Linked DNA regions of Saccharomyces cerevisiae S288C. The protein of the gene in region 1 interacts with the protein of each later gene in a pairwise test. Each region holds a gene or a part of one and is shown on either strand. Other genes may lie near its edges.

Region 1 (3,329 bases):
CTCAGGGTCTATTGATAAAAATGAATTTATGAGCATTCCTGGCGTTTCGTCAAACCCTCTTGCTGGACGTATAATGGAGGTTTTCGATGCTGATAATAGTGGGGACGTGGATTTTCAAGAGTTCATCACAGGATTATCCATTTTCAGTGGGCGTGGGTCCAAGGACGAAAAGTTAAGATTCGCCTTCAAAATCTACGACATTGACAAGGACGGTTTCATATCCAATGGTGAGTTGTTCATCGTGTTGAAGATTATGGTAGGTTCTAATCTGGACGATGAACAGCTGCAACAGATAGTAGATAGGACGATAGTGGAAAACGATAGCGACGGCGACGGACGTTTAAGTTTCGAGGAGTTTAAGAATGCTATCGAAACCACAGAAGTGGCCAAGAGTCTGACATTGCAATACGATGTGTAAGACTAGGGGACACTTCATTCATTTATGGTATGCCAATATTTTTAAGAAAAGAAGAATAATACGCGATATTGTTTTTTAAGGAAGGAACGCACACTCGCCCAGTTAGAGTGCTGATGATATATACATATATATATGTATATGTAACAAACAATAAGAAAGCAATGATACAACATAGAGATGAGAGAGAGCATATATGTCAGCGACGAGATATACCAAGATGGAAGCTGATCTCATGTAATAACTGCGGGGTGTACTTTGATAATTTTTGGGATTCCATTGTTATTAATAGCTTTGATATCAGACATACAGAATACCAGAGATTTTCCTCAAAAATATGGCAATGCACAAAGGGGGATCAATAGTTATATAAATTAAGATTATTACTTCTTCTTTGTTTTATGTGTTGTTATTCACTATCCCACTGCATTATCAATCCTTACATATCAGCTTCCGTTAAACCCGATGACTATCTCTCAATCATCATACTATCTTCTTACACCGTATATGATAATTACCAGCAATACTAATGCTAGGAGACAGACCATCTTTGATTCCTATTCCAATAAAGTTAAACTGTGATATTGGTTTATTGGATAAGTTCATATCCTAAAACGTGTTGACAACACTTCGGGAGTTTCCAGTAAGTAAAATTTGTATGGAGGGTTGGCCGAGTGGTCTAAGGCGGCAGACTTAAGATCTGTTGGACGGTTGTCCGCGCGAGTTCGAACCTCGCATCCTTCAGTAATTTTTTTTTTTAATTTATTTTTGTGTTGCAAGCGTTGATCCTTTCCATTATGCAGCCATAAGAGGAGGCTGGATATGAATTATTTATTACCAATATAAGGAGCATGTACCGTTGATTTTGAAGAGCCAATTGCTCCAAATTTTGGATTTTGTGTTCGAAAAAGGGAAGATTGCTCCAAACGCAAATAAGGAGGAAACCCGCTGATTGCACTCTTGGAAAAATAAAAATAAAAAGTGGTCTCAGAATTGTTTCAAAAGTGGCACTGACACAATATTTACAGGCGTTGATAGCTTCTTGTTTTAACAATACGATTTAATCTCGGAGTAGTTAAGCCAAAGAATACGTGTTATCCGTAAGAGGCTTATTGCACGTAATCCCCAGTATAAATTATCCGCAAATCGAAGACAAATGTTTAAGAAATACAAAAATCAAGACTTGGACATGGCATTTTGGTGGAAGAAAAACCCCAAGACCCCTTCCGATTATGCCAGGTTGATCATCGAACAACTAAATAAATTCAGCTCACCCTCGCTGACTCAGGATAACAAACGAAAGGTACAAGAAGAGTGCACAAAATATCTAATTGGCACTAAACATTTTATTGTCGGTGATACGGATCCTCACCCAACTCCGGAAGCCATTGACGAGCTTTATACTGCCATGCATCGTGCCGACGTGTTCTATGAACTGCTACTTCATTTTGTGGATTTGGAATTCGAAGCAAGGAGAGAATGCATGCTTATATTCTCTATATGCCTTGGATACTCTAAGGATAATAAATTCGTCACAGTAGATTATTTAGTCTCGCAACCAAAGACCATATCTTTAATGTTGAGGACTGCGGAAGTTGCTCTACAACAAAAGGGTTGCCAAGATATCTTTTTAACGGTAGGGAATATGATTATTGAATGTATCAAATACGAACAACTTTGTAGGATTATATTAAAGGACCCTCAACTATGGAAATTCTTTGAGTTTGCGAAACTGGGTAATTTCGAAATCAGTACGGAATCTTTACAAATATTAAGTGCCGCATTTACTGCACATCCTAAATTAGTGTCTAAGGAATTCTTCAGTAATGAGATTAATATCATAAGATTCATTAAATGTATTAACAAGTTAATGGCTCATGGAAGCTACGTAACGAAAAGGCAGAGCACTAAACTGTTGGCCTCATTAATTGTGATAAGATCTAACAACGCGTTGATGAATATATATATCAACTCCCCAGAAAACTTAAAGCTCATAATGACTTTAATGACTGACAAATCTAAAAACTTACAACTTGAAGCTTTCAACGTATTCAAGGTGATGGTAGCAAACCCAAGGAAGTCAAAACCTGTTTTTGACATTCTTGTTAAAAACAGAGATAAACTATTGACGTATTTTAAAACTTTCGGTTTAGATTCTCAGGATTCTACTTTTCTTGATGAAAGAGAATTCATCGTTCAAGAAATTGATTCCTTGCCGCGTATAATTTCGTCCACAACAGAAGTTTCTAATAATAATGCATCCTCAAGTAACGTCGCCAGTATAACTTCTCCATCATCAGTAATGAACAATCAATCATCCATCTTAACACATTCAACTTCACCTGATTCAAGATAACTATAAAACTTGGTTCACTTTATAAAAAATGGAAAGTTCTCAGGCAGTGGGTCGTGACATGAATATTCAAAAGTAAAATTATATATAGGAAAGTGTTTATTTGCATAAAAAGGGAAAAATAGTTCAGACTTTTGTATTTTTACGTATTTATACAAAAAAAGGTTGGTACCGGAGGCTGAGGAAGCCAGTACAGTTGGATCCGGTACATGGAATTGAGCAATCAACCGTAAATATGAGCGCTTTCTCAAGATATTAAATTATTATAAAACAATTTATTTATCCAATTTATACATGATTTGGATCCTCCTTTGGCTATGTATGTTACCTCTCCTTTCCTTCTTCCTTTTTTGTTTTAACTTTTTTGTTCAAGCTTTTATTGTTTCTTAGTAAATTTGATGATGCTGAACTAGATGGTTGGGAAAATAGTGGTAATCTCTTACTAGTCTCCTGCCCTGTAGGTGATGTGATTCGCTGCCCTTTATTTGCATTAAACAATGCATTAGATTTGGACGTTTTTGGATCTTCGATCTTTTCAAAAAGATTCAGGTTAGTTTCTGA
Region 2 (5,474 bases), on another chromosome or scaffold:
TCGAAAAAGTATAAACACGATCACGTTTCACTCTTGAAAACGGTAAAGGATCAACGAATGTATTATTTTTTTTGGTTCTGCTGTATATGACCTTTTCGATTTCTTCTCCACTATATATGGCAATTCTGGGGTAACAAATACAACAATCAGCGTTACAAAAGGTATTTTGGAATGTTTACAGGATAATTATCTCTCTTACAGTGATGAGAATGCTAAAATTTCAAGTGGTAAACATTGGTTGAAACCTCCTTAGCGCTTTCTCAGGATTTGCGCTTCGCACGGTTTTTTCTTCTAGGCGCGTTTATAAGAAGAAAAAATAACGGAAAAAACAAATGGCGAGGTTTGGTAACTGCGCCATTTGCTTTCTTTGAACTAGAATAGCAATAAAGTCCGTAAAGCGCTAACCTTGCGCAGTCGAGTTCCATGTGGTGCTTAAAGGGACTTGTTAAGTTCTGTAGAAAATATATACTTTCACTTTTCTTACATCTTGCTTATTTTTCTTGAATATGTACATAAACAAAAGAATAAACTAGACGATGCTTTTAATGCTCATTATCCTTGATAGGCGTTGAAATAAGTTGTTCCTTTAAAGCGTGTTCAATGCAGGGCAAACCTTCTTCGAACATTTGTAAAAGATTTTCCAGTTCTTTCAGAACCTGGGGTTTCCTGTCTACCCGCCTCTGTTTTCCTGGCAGAAACGATTCTAAGTCCAAGAACATTTCCATTTGTAAACTCTGTGGAGGAGGACACATGCCAAAGCCTAAAGAATTAACCGAGTTTGCAGCTGTTGCGGCGGAACTCAGAATATGATTGAATTGTGTTCCGGATGGAATAGTCTGTTGTGAAATTGGTGCAGTCGTTGATGCCGCGGCAGAACTTGAAGTTGCGATAGTCGTAGAATTGGCTTTGATAGTAGTGTTTCCTGTATTAGCAGAAAGAGGAACACTGTTATTAGGGCCGCTGTTGTTGTTAGAGCCAACATTGTTGTTACCGATACCGGAAACATTGCCGGAAACAGATGAGCCAAGAATATTCAATGGGTGTTCCGAGGCAGAAGAGTTCTTCCTGTTAGAAATGCTTTGACTTCTCTTGATCTTGCCCCCAAAATCAATGTGTTTCTCACTAATTGGAGTCATTGAGACAGGGATGTTGGACGCACTGCTTGTGTTAAATCCAAATTGATTAATATTTTCGTTCGTGGATATGCCAGCGCTCCCCGGCATGCCATTGTTATTCTGTGAGGTTGCTGTATTTGGATCAAGAAGTTTATTTCTCACAACAGGTGTAGGTAGTGGCATTTGTAGTTTTAAGTTTGGGTTGTTGCGTTTAAAGTCACCATTGACCCTTGAGCCTTCCTTTTCGTTGGAAAAGTAGTTTGATGAGGTTAAATTATTGCTGCTATTACCACTAATAGTGTTAAGTGTAGAAGAACTAGGTATGCTGTTCAGAGGTTGCAAGAGAATGTCCTTGTTATCTTTGCTATTGGCCATTGGTTTCATCGTAGGAGGAGGCGCGAGGTTCGTGTGAGTAGAATTATGACCAATGTTTTGGGTTGGGGAACCGGCAGGCTTTCTATTGGGAGAAGTTCCAACTCCAAATAGTGGCCTTGAGGGTGAAGAAGCCTTATGAGTAGATAACTTTGTTACATTACCTGGATTGGTTATGCCCATTTGTGTGCTATTTGCAGTGTTACTACCGCTGCTTCCTCTTGAGTTCTCACTATCAGTGTTGTTGTTATAGTTATTACTGTTGTTCGGAGTGGAGCTGATTCCGGAATTAGAAGCAACTGCGGACCCCAATTTTTGATTTGTTATGGTGCTTGGGCAATGTTCTGGCCTATTGTTACTGACTGTCAACCGCCTGGGCACGTTTGAAGGTGATTTATATTGTATTGAGCTAGATGACGAAGGAGTGCCAGCCGTCACTGTAGATGACCTGGCCTTTGTGCTTGGTATTAAAACCGGATCTGCGCTCGCAGGCGTTGGTAGAGCACTATTCGGTAGTTCTTCAGGAATTTCTATTTCAATAGACGTTGGAGCAGTAGTTAATCCACTTGTTGGAGGGCCCTTTGACGTCTTGTTAAATTTTGTTTGGAGTAGCGGCAAAGCAGGTGTACTCTGGCTATAATAATTGTTCCCACTGGATAAAGGTGGAAGGTGTGGTCGCATTTTATTATTATTGATATTTCCGTTGACCTCGTTGGATATTGAGGGAATGAAATCATCTCGTGAACTATTACCAGCATTTAGAGATGAAATGGATTTGCTTATTTTAGGAGCTTCTGTATTGACATCATTTTCAGCAGTAATAATTTCATTGTCTTCAAAAAGTTCAAGTAATTGTTTTGGAGCCTTACTTTCCAGCCTCTTAGATGATGTCATTGGACCGGCCGTATGTGTTCCAGAGGTGTTTGTAGTTCCAGCTACCATTTTGGAAGGGTATTTTGAGTTCGTATAGTTATTTGTTACTGGTGCATTCAAAGTAGAATTTTGAGCTATTGTACCAGGATAGCCCTTTCCTATCGTTGTCCCTTGATAAACAAAGGGTCTAGTATTATGACTTGTAGGGTCAAAGTAATAAGAATCTTCGTCAGGGTATGCATAGTTGAACAGGTCATGTTGGGCAGTAGCCCACTCGTTGTTGTCCTCAGCCAAAGCATCGAGGTTGATATTATTTTCAATAATATAATCCGACGAACTCAATGAATCAAAATCCCATTTCATTTCCACATCGCCTTCGTTCACTCTCTTAATTTCATTATCATTTGATGCTATTGACTTTTGTGCTTCATCACCCCCGCCATTTTGTGATGGTTTTGGAGCTTCACTGGGTTTTGATGGCTCATTTTCCGGTATACTGCCCTCTATTTTATATTTGTTTTTATTCTTGTCCCTAAATAGTAGATATCGTGATATTAGTTCTTTCAAAATGGACGTTGGCGTCGCCTTGTGGGCCCTGATAAATTTTGATTTTAAAAGATCGTCTGCTGACAATCTCTCCTTTGGATCCTCATCAAGACAAAGCGCAATAAATTCTTTCAAAGATGTACTGTATGATCTGTCCTCAAGCCTCGGTGGTTTCGATTTGATGATTAGTTGCATTGCCCTTAGGGCCTCCACATCGCAGTATGGCGGATTTCCGGTGGCAATCTCGTACGTTGTAATACCTAAAGACCATATATCTACTTTAGTGTCGTAATAAACGCCTTCCATGATCACTTCTGGAGCCATCCAGTAGGGGGTCCCAGCCATAGTTTGACGTCGTAAAGAAGTTTGGTTTACTTGTGCAGCGACACCAAAATCGCATAGTTTAACATTACCTTCGTTAGTGATCAGAACGTTTGCTGCTTTGATATCTCGATGAATGACGTTATCTTTATGAATGCATTTTAATGCTACAAGCAGTTCTCTCATAATAACCCCAATGTACTTTTCATCGATTTTGCCTGGCCTTAACAACGAACGCAGTGAACCACCAGCGCAGTGTTCCATTATGATCCAAAGGCTTGTGTCTTTCAAATACGACCCATAATACCGCGTGATATTGGAAATCTGTTTCAAGGAGGCCAAAAACTGAATTTCTCGCTGCACATCCTCCACCTCGTCAGAATCAGAATCTAAATTTAAGACTTTGATAGCATACACTCGTCCAGTCTTCACGTTATAGCCCTTATAAACCACACCAAATTTCCCTCGCCCAATAACTTCCGTTCTCTTGAAAAGTGAACTCACATCCATCTCTCCTTCGGCTAAACCCTGCTTACTATTTTGTGGCTTCGTCGTCATTACTGCCTGTTCTCTATACGTGTTTTGCTTGCCAGTCGATGGCGCCCAAATTTATACTTTTTGTTTCTTTATCTGTGTACTGTTAAAAGTAGTACTGTTAAAAGTAGTAAGCTCCTTAGAAAGCGGTTCCGCCTAATAGTTCCTAACTTGTTGTATGTGGCTTCACGTAGGACGAGTTGCCTCTGTTCTTCTTTGACTTTTGCCACGTCGGCAAGCTGCTGCTCTTGTTGATGCCTTTAAAGATTGTCAGATCGGCCTGAGATCGACGTGTGGCATGATAATGTTGCTCGATGGGCTGTAAATAGATAAGAAAGAGTGAAACGAATAGAGTAACGAGGCCACAGATGTGGCGAAACCTGGGAGGATATGTTCTAACGTTATCTAGAGTTCTGATAGAGCATTGTATGCGATAGTACCGCTGACATATGTGCATTCTTTAATTATATCGATGATATCATGCAACACGGGTTAGCTCTGTAGTAATGTAAACCTCTCTTAACTACGGCCAAGAATATCAGCAGCGGAGGTTAAGTTGCAGGTTATACCTATCTGTTTTGTAGTTAGGAAACGTAGGCGCATACTAATTAGGAGTAGCAAGGCAAGATGCAAACTGTGTTGAAATATTTGTTGCTTATTATGTGTGGAAGCTTTTGTGCTTCGGAGGAATTGCAAAACCAGACCAATGTTCCTGCAATATTCTTCTCTTACAAACTGTATGTAGAACAAGAAACATTAATCTTTAGTAACTTTCATTTTTCTTACTAACTAGATGTTATACACATATTTGTACTTTTGGATAGAACTCCCGGTATTTTAAAGTATCAAGAGGATTATGATAGGGCTGTGACTTTACCAAGAGACACCTTTATTGAAGCGGCTGAGAAATTCTTAGGTGTATGTAATGCTGACACTTATGTGTTTATTAATCAACCAGGCCTGAGGAAATTGGACTTCTTGGAATTTGAAACAGAGTTTGTTTCGTTACAGAGATATATAAGACGGAGTTCAACCGCGATTAAGTTCGAAAAGGTAGACCTATTGCCTCAAGATTTATACTATGATCTTGCAGAGTTTGTAAAGGAGTATTGTAACGTAGACCAGGTGTTGAACTTACGAGGTAATAATACAGAAGATTTCCAGCCCTTTATTGATAGCGAAAAAAGAGTGATTATAATAGAGTACCCTAAGTTACCAGAGGACACTAATGAACGTAAAGAAGCATTCCGCCATTATGACAAGTATTTGAGGACTATACTGGCGCAGATTCCGTCGCCAGAACAAAATGTCATTTACACCTCGTTAAACCCAGGAACTACGCTGGCTCACGAGTCGATCATCCCTATCCAAATATTTCCAGATATCTTTGACATAAAATCCAGAGTGGGTGAAGTGGAACAAAATAATAGAGTTTTGGATGTGCCTCGTCTGTCGTTTAATGACTATACTCCACGATTTTCAGAGCCACCTTCGGAGTATGTCTCAATATTTGATTCACAATTAATTGAGAATAACAGAGGTTTATTACAGCTGATTTTCACAATTTTGGTTGGGTATATTCTTATTCAGTTTTTTTTCACAAAAAAAACTATTGTAGATGAGAAGATTACTAATAAAAAGGACAACGTGAAACAGACGTCACCACAACTGCTCAAAAAAGTGCAAGAGATCCAGAAAAAGCCATCCCAGCAA
Region 3 (4,706 bases), on another chromosome or scaffold:
GAGAATACTGTGGATATCAATATTCTGTATAAGATTTTACAGATCGATCGTAAAATGGGCCAGGTTTTACCTTTTAACATGATTAGAAGAATGTTAAGTACAGAATTTAGCTCTCTTGAAAGAAGAGACGTGATTATCAAAAATCTAAACACTTTGTACTATCAATACACAGTACAGGATAGTGATCATTTCTTAAGTCAAATTGAAAATGCTCCTAGATGGATAGATTTAAGGGATCTTTATGGCCAATACAATAAACTTGAAGGTGAGAAAAATGTAGAGATCATAAGCAAGTTCATGGACAAGTTTATTGATTTGGATAAACCCGACCAAGTTGTTACTATTTATAACCAGTATAGCAAGGTTTTCCCAAATAGTACGTCGCTGAAAGATTGTCTTTTAAGAGCTGTGTCGCACTTACGAGCTAAATCGAGTAAAGAGAAGTTGGACAGAATTCTAGCAGTCTGGAACAGTGTTATCAAACCAGGAGATAATATTAAAAACACATCTTATGCGACGCTAGTTAACGCACTAACTGATTCTGGAAATTTCAACCATTTAAAGGAATTTTGGGAAGAAGAACTTCCTAAAAAGTTCAAGAAAGATCCCATCGTGAAGGAAGCATTTCTCCTGGCCTTATGTCAAACTTCGCCTCTAAAGTATGACCAAGTCAAAGGGGAGTTAGCAGAGACTGTTAAAACCAAGAAGTTGTTCAATAAAGTTTTATTGCTAATGTTAGATGATGAAAAAGTGAGCGAAGAACAATTCAACACATTTTACTATAACCATTATCCATCAGATGGTGTGTTACCCCCTACTTTGGATACTCTAAGCATTAAAATGTACGCTAATTATAAATTTCAGGCAGAAGATACACGCCCACAATTCGATCTATTGCAAAGTGTTTCCATTAATCCCACCGATTATGAAAAGGTTGAAAAGATTACGAAAGCCTTTATTTCAGTGTGCCCCACTGTCGAGCCGATTCGTCAACTTTACAAACAATTGGGAACTCACTTAAATGCTAGGAATTATGCAGACTTTATTTCCGCAGAGTTTAATAAGCCTGACGGCACAGTGGCCGAGGCAAAGAATTTGTTTTCTGATTTTCTCTCATATCAAAAGACTAGAAAGAGAAACGTGGATAATACGCCTCTAAATGCTTTATTATTGGGGTTCTGTGATAAACTTTACAAGAGTAAACATAGCGAGTACGTTCCCTACATCGAAAAGTACTACAATCTAGCTAAGGATTCAAGTATCAGGGTGTCGAACTTGGCCGTTTCGAAAATTCTATTCAACTTGGCCACATTTGCACGCAATACTCAGCAGTTATCTGACAAAGAGGTTGCTTTTATTAACCAGTTTATGCGAGATTTAGGCACTAATGAGGGTTTTCGTCCCAACCCTAAGGATATTCAAATTTTAAAAGAATGTGATGGAATTACTGTTCCAGAAAAGTTGACTTAATACACTTGTCATAAGAAGACAATAAGAAAAGCTCAGAACCAATTTTCTGCACATATGATGCTGTAACTATATAATGATTTCTTGTATATAACTTCCGTATAATAGTTATTGCTTCCATGCATGATTCTTTCAAAGAACAATACAAAATAAAAATAAAAAAAAAAAAAAAAAATGAAAAAATGAAGCTACAAGTCGGGTAACAAAAAGTATTTCAAGATCTCTAAATATAAGTGGGCAAATAAAGTTAATGCCAAAACTCCATGCTACTTTTCACCTGAACTTATTGGGGGGAGTTAAGTCTATAAGTATCCGTAACGTATGGTAGCGACATCTTCAAAGAGGACGTTGGATCCGAAGGAGGAACATTTGCCTGCTGACAAAACATCCACTAATTCAAGCAACACTATAATATCTGAGTTGGCAACACAAGAGAAATCCAGCTCTAGTGGTACTACACTAAAATTAATAGCTCTTAATATCAAGTCCATATCAGATGAAGATGTGGGATATATCCAAAATGTTGAAAGACTGTCTTTAAGGAAAAATCACTTAACATCCTTACCAGCGAGTTTCAAGAGGTTATCAAGGCTGCAATATCTGGATTTGCATAATAACAATTTTAAAGAAATCCCATATATTTTGACACAATGCCCTCAATTAGAGATCTTGGATCTGTCCTCCAATGAGATTGAAGCATTGCCAGATGAAATATCATCGTTTTGGCAAGATAATATTCGTGTATTATCATTGAAAGACAACAACGTTACTAGCATACGTAATTTGAAATCGATCACAAAATTAAACAAGCTGAGCATCTTGGATTTAGAGGATAATAAAATACCCAAAGAAGAGCTTGACCAAGTACAGAGTTATACTCCATTTCATACGGGCATCCCCAAAGAAGAATATTGGGCAATTGCGATATCACGATATCTAAAAGATCATCCTAACCTACCTACTCCAGAACCTAAAATATCTAGAGCAGCGAAAAGAATGGGATTCATAAATACGAACTTGTCTAATGGAGCAATGAATGAAAACAATATAATTTCACTTGCCCCAAGTGCAAATACAACTATAAGTGCATCTACTGCAATGGTCTCATCTAATCAAACCTCTGCAACATCTTTCAGTGGTACAGTCAATGCAGAATCAGAACAAAGTGGGGCAGTGAATGGTACGGAACTATACAATCACACCAAATATAATGACTACTTCAAGAGGTTGTCGATTTTACCAGAAGAGTCAATGAGTAACGGGCATCAAAAAATATCGCATGCAGAGTTGGTTGTTTCCTGTCGGAAGCTCCTATTTAGTTTTACAGAATGCCAACAAGCTATCAGAAAAATCGCCTCTTTCTGTAAAGAGAAGGCCGTAGCGGTTAATGTAGTATCATTATTATACTCTGTCAGATCACATACTGATAATCTGGTGGAGGTCTTGCAGCAAACAGAGAACGAAGACGAATCGCATGATCAGGCGTTAATCAAGCTGTGCCTCACTATCATCACAAATTTTAAACAAATTATAACATTGTTGAGAAAAAATTTTGAGATTTTTTTCAAAGAAGACGATCTATGCTTCATAAGGATGTTTTATATGACATTAATGTGTGCTTATATGGAAATGTATAATGCATGGTCTTTTATCAAAGAAGATGATCAAGTGTCCGGTTCTGCAAGTAAGGCACCCAAGAAACATTCTTTTTCGAGGCACGAGACATCGTCCAGTAGTATCACAAGCGGTGGAGGACCCGCAGCAAGTACGACCAGTACACATTGTAGCGGAAACATAAAATTACTGCCGAAAACAAGGAGCACAAGAACACCATCTGCATCTGCATTGCTTTCAAATAGTAATATTCTGACGGGTGATACCACTGCTGTTCCTCTTTTATCACCAAATCTAAATGGTGCACACACCCATGGTCCAATTTTGGGACACCAAAATGCAATAAGCAATGGAAGTTCTCAAACGAACATGAATGAAGTAAAAACTACTAGCGATACTATTCCAAGGCAACAGCTGCTTCAGCACAATAAATCCATCAGCGATTCGAAAAAAGAGTCACAGGCGCATGAACCTAAACAGCATCCGGTTATGACTTCTTCAATAATTAACGCATCAAATAGTAATAACGTCTCGAATGTTAATATAACCCCACCACCGATGAATGGTGGTGGTGCCGCGAACAGTAGTGCTAATGTAGTGGAGACAAATATTGACATTCAACTGTATCAAACGTTGTCCACAGTAGTTAAAATGGTGAGCGTTGTATATAACCAGTTAACTTCAGAGATATCCAAGATAGCCATTGCTAGCACCATGGGAAAGCAAATTTTGACGGACTCGCTAGCACCTAAAATTCGTGATTTGACGGAAACATGTCGTCAAGCGATGGATTTATCCAAACAATTGAATGAAAGGTTAAATGTATTAATACCGAACGATTCAAATTCAGAGAAGTATCTGACATCTTTGGAGAAGCTGAAAACGTGGGAGATAATGAATTCGTTCTTAAAAGTAATAATATCAATTCTGGCTAATACTAAAATCGTAATGAGCGACGTGCCTAATTTGAATGAGCTGAGACCTAACCTAGCCAACTTGGCGAAGATTACCAAGGATGTCACTGTGATATTGGACTTGAGTTCATACAAGGCTGTATCAGTAAGCGCCAACTCTCCGGAGTAATATAAAAACTTGCATTGTGAGAAAACGCGAACTTTAGAATACGTAATGGGAGGATCATATACCCCATGGTACTGAAATGTATGCTTTATATATATATATATATATATTTATATATTTATGCATGAAAAATGAGGAGTTCGGAAACAGAAGTTTTAAAAGTTACAGATTTATTGTATAAAAGATACACGCCACTGGTTGAATGTAAATGTTAAAATGAATTGGCATGGTCTAAAAATCCCTCGTAAATCTTGCTTAATTCATAATGGTAACCATGGATACCCTGGGATTCCAAAAATATGGGTAGGCGAACTCTTGTTCGTTCCGCGATACCTTTTAACCTCACAATATCAGTCCCATTCAATCCTGCTATGTTCTTGCTGGCTGAAGACGTTTTAGGGACTTCTTTGCAATTATCATTATCATCAGTTAGAATTACAAATATCCTGTCAAGGATGAAGAAGAGTTTGAATAATTTGGATAAAGTGTCATTAATCTCTGAGTCTTCCATATTTTTGAATGTAAATTTTTCAACGTAATCGATG

What was found. The genes of interacting proteins can lie anywhere in the genome.
Region 2: the proteins of HYM1 (region 1) and KIC1 interact in binary tests that used the Saccharomyces cerevisiae proteins (3 or more experiments, as listed by UniProt).
Region 3: the proteins of HYM1 (region 1) and SOG2 interact in binary tests that used the Saccharomyces cerevisiae proteins (3 or more experiments, as listed by UniProt).

What each region holds. Positions count from the first base shown.
Region 1 is NC_001143.9:83,133-86,461, forward strand, and holds HYM1 (Hym1p), read left to right. Parts: upstream 1-1,571; coding exon 1,572-2,771; downstream 2,772-3,329. Other genes in the region: CNB1 (calcineurin regulatory subunit B), read left to right, coding at 1-418; ATP-binding cassette long-chain fatty acid transporter PXA2, read right to left, coding at 3,093-3,329.
Region 2 is NC_001140.6:314,883-320,356, reverse strand, and holds KIC1 (putative serine/threonine protein kinase KIC1), read right to left. Parts: upstream 3,786-5,474; coding exon 543-3,785; downstream 1-542. Other genes in the region: BIG1 (Big1p), read left to right, coding at 4,389-4,498, 4,586-5,474. UniProt on the Saccharomyces cerevisiae protein: Protein kinase involved in morphogenesis and cell integrity.
Region 3 is NC_001147.6:997,911-1,002,616, reverse strand, and holds SOG2 (Sog2p), read left to right. Parts: upstream 1-1,788; coding exon 1,789-4,164; downstream 4,165-4,706. Other genes in the region: MSC6 (Msc6p), read left to right, coding at 1-1,470; TFIIH complex subunit TFB6, read right to left, coding at 4,373-4,706. UniProt on the Saccharomyces cerevisiae protein: Required for proper cell morphogenesis and cell separation after mitosis. Functions in the RAM (regulation of ACE2 activity and cellular morphogenesis) signaling network and is required for proper ACE2 localization and CBK1 kinase activity.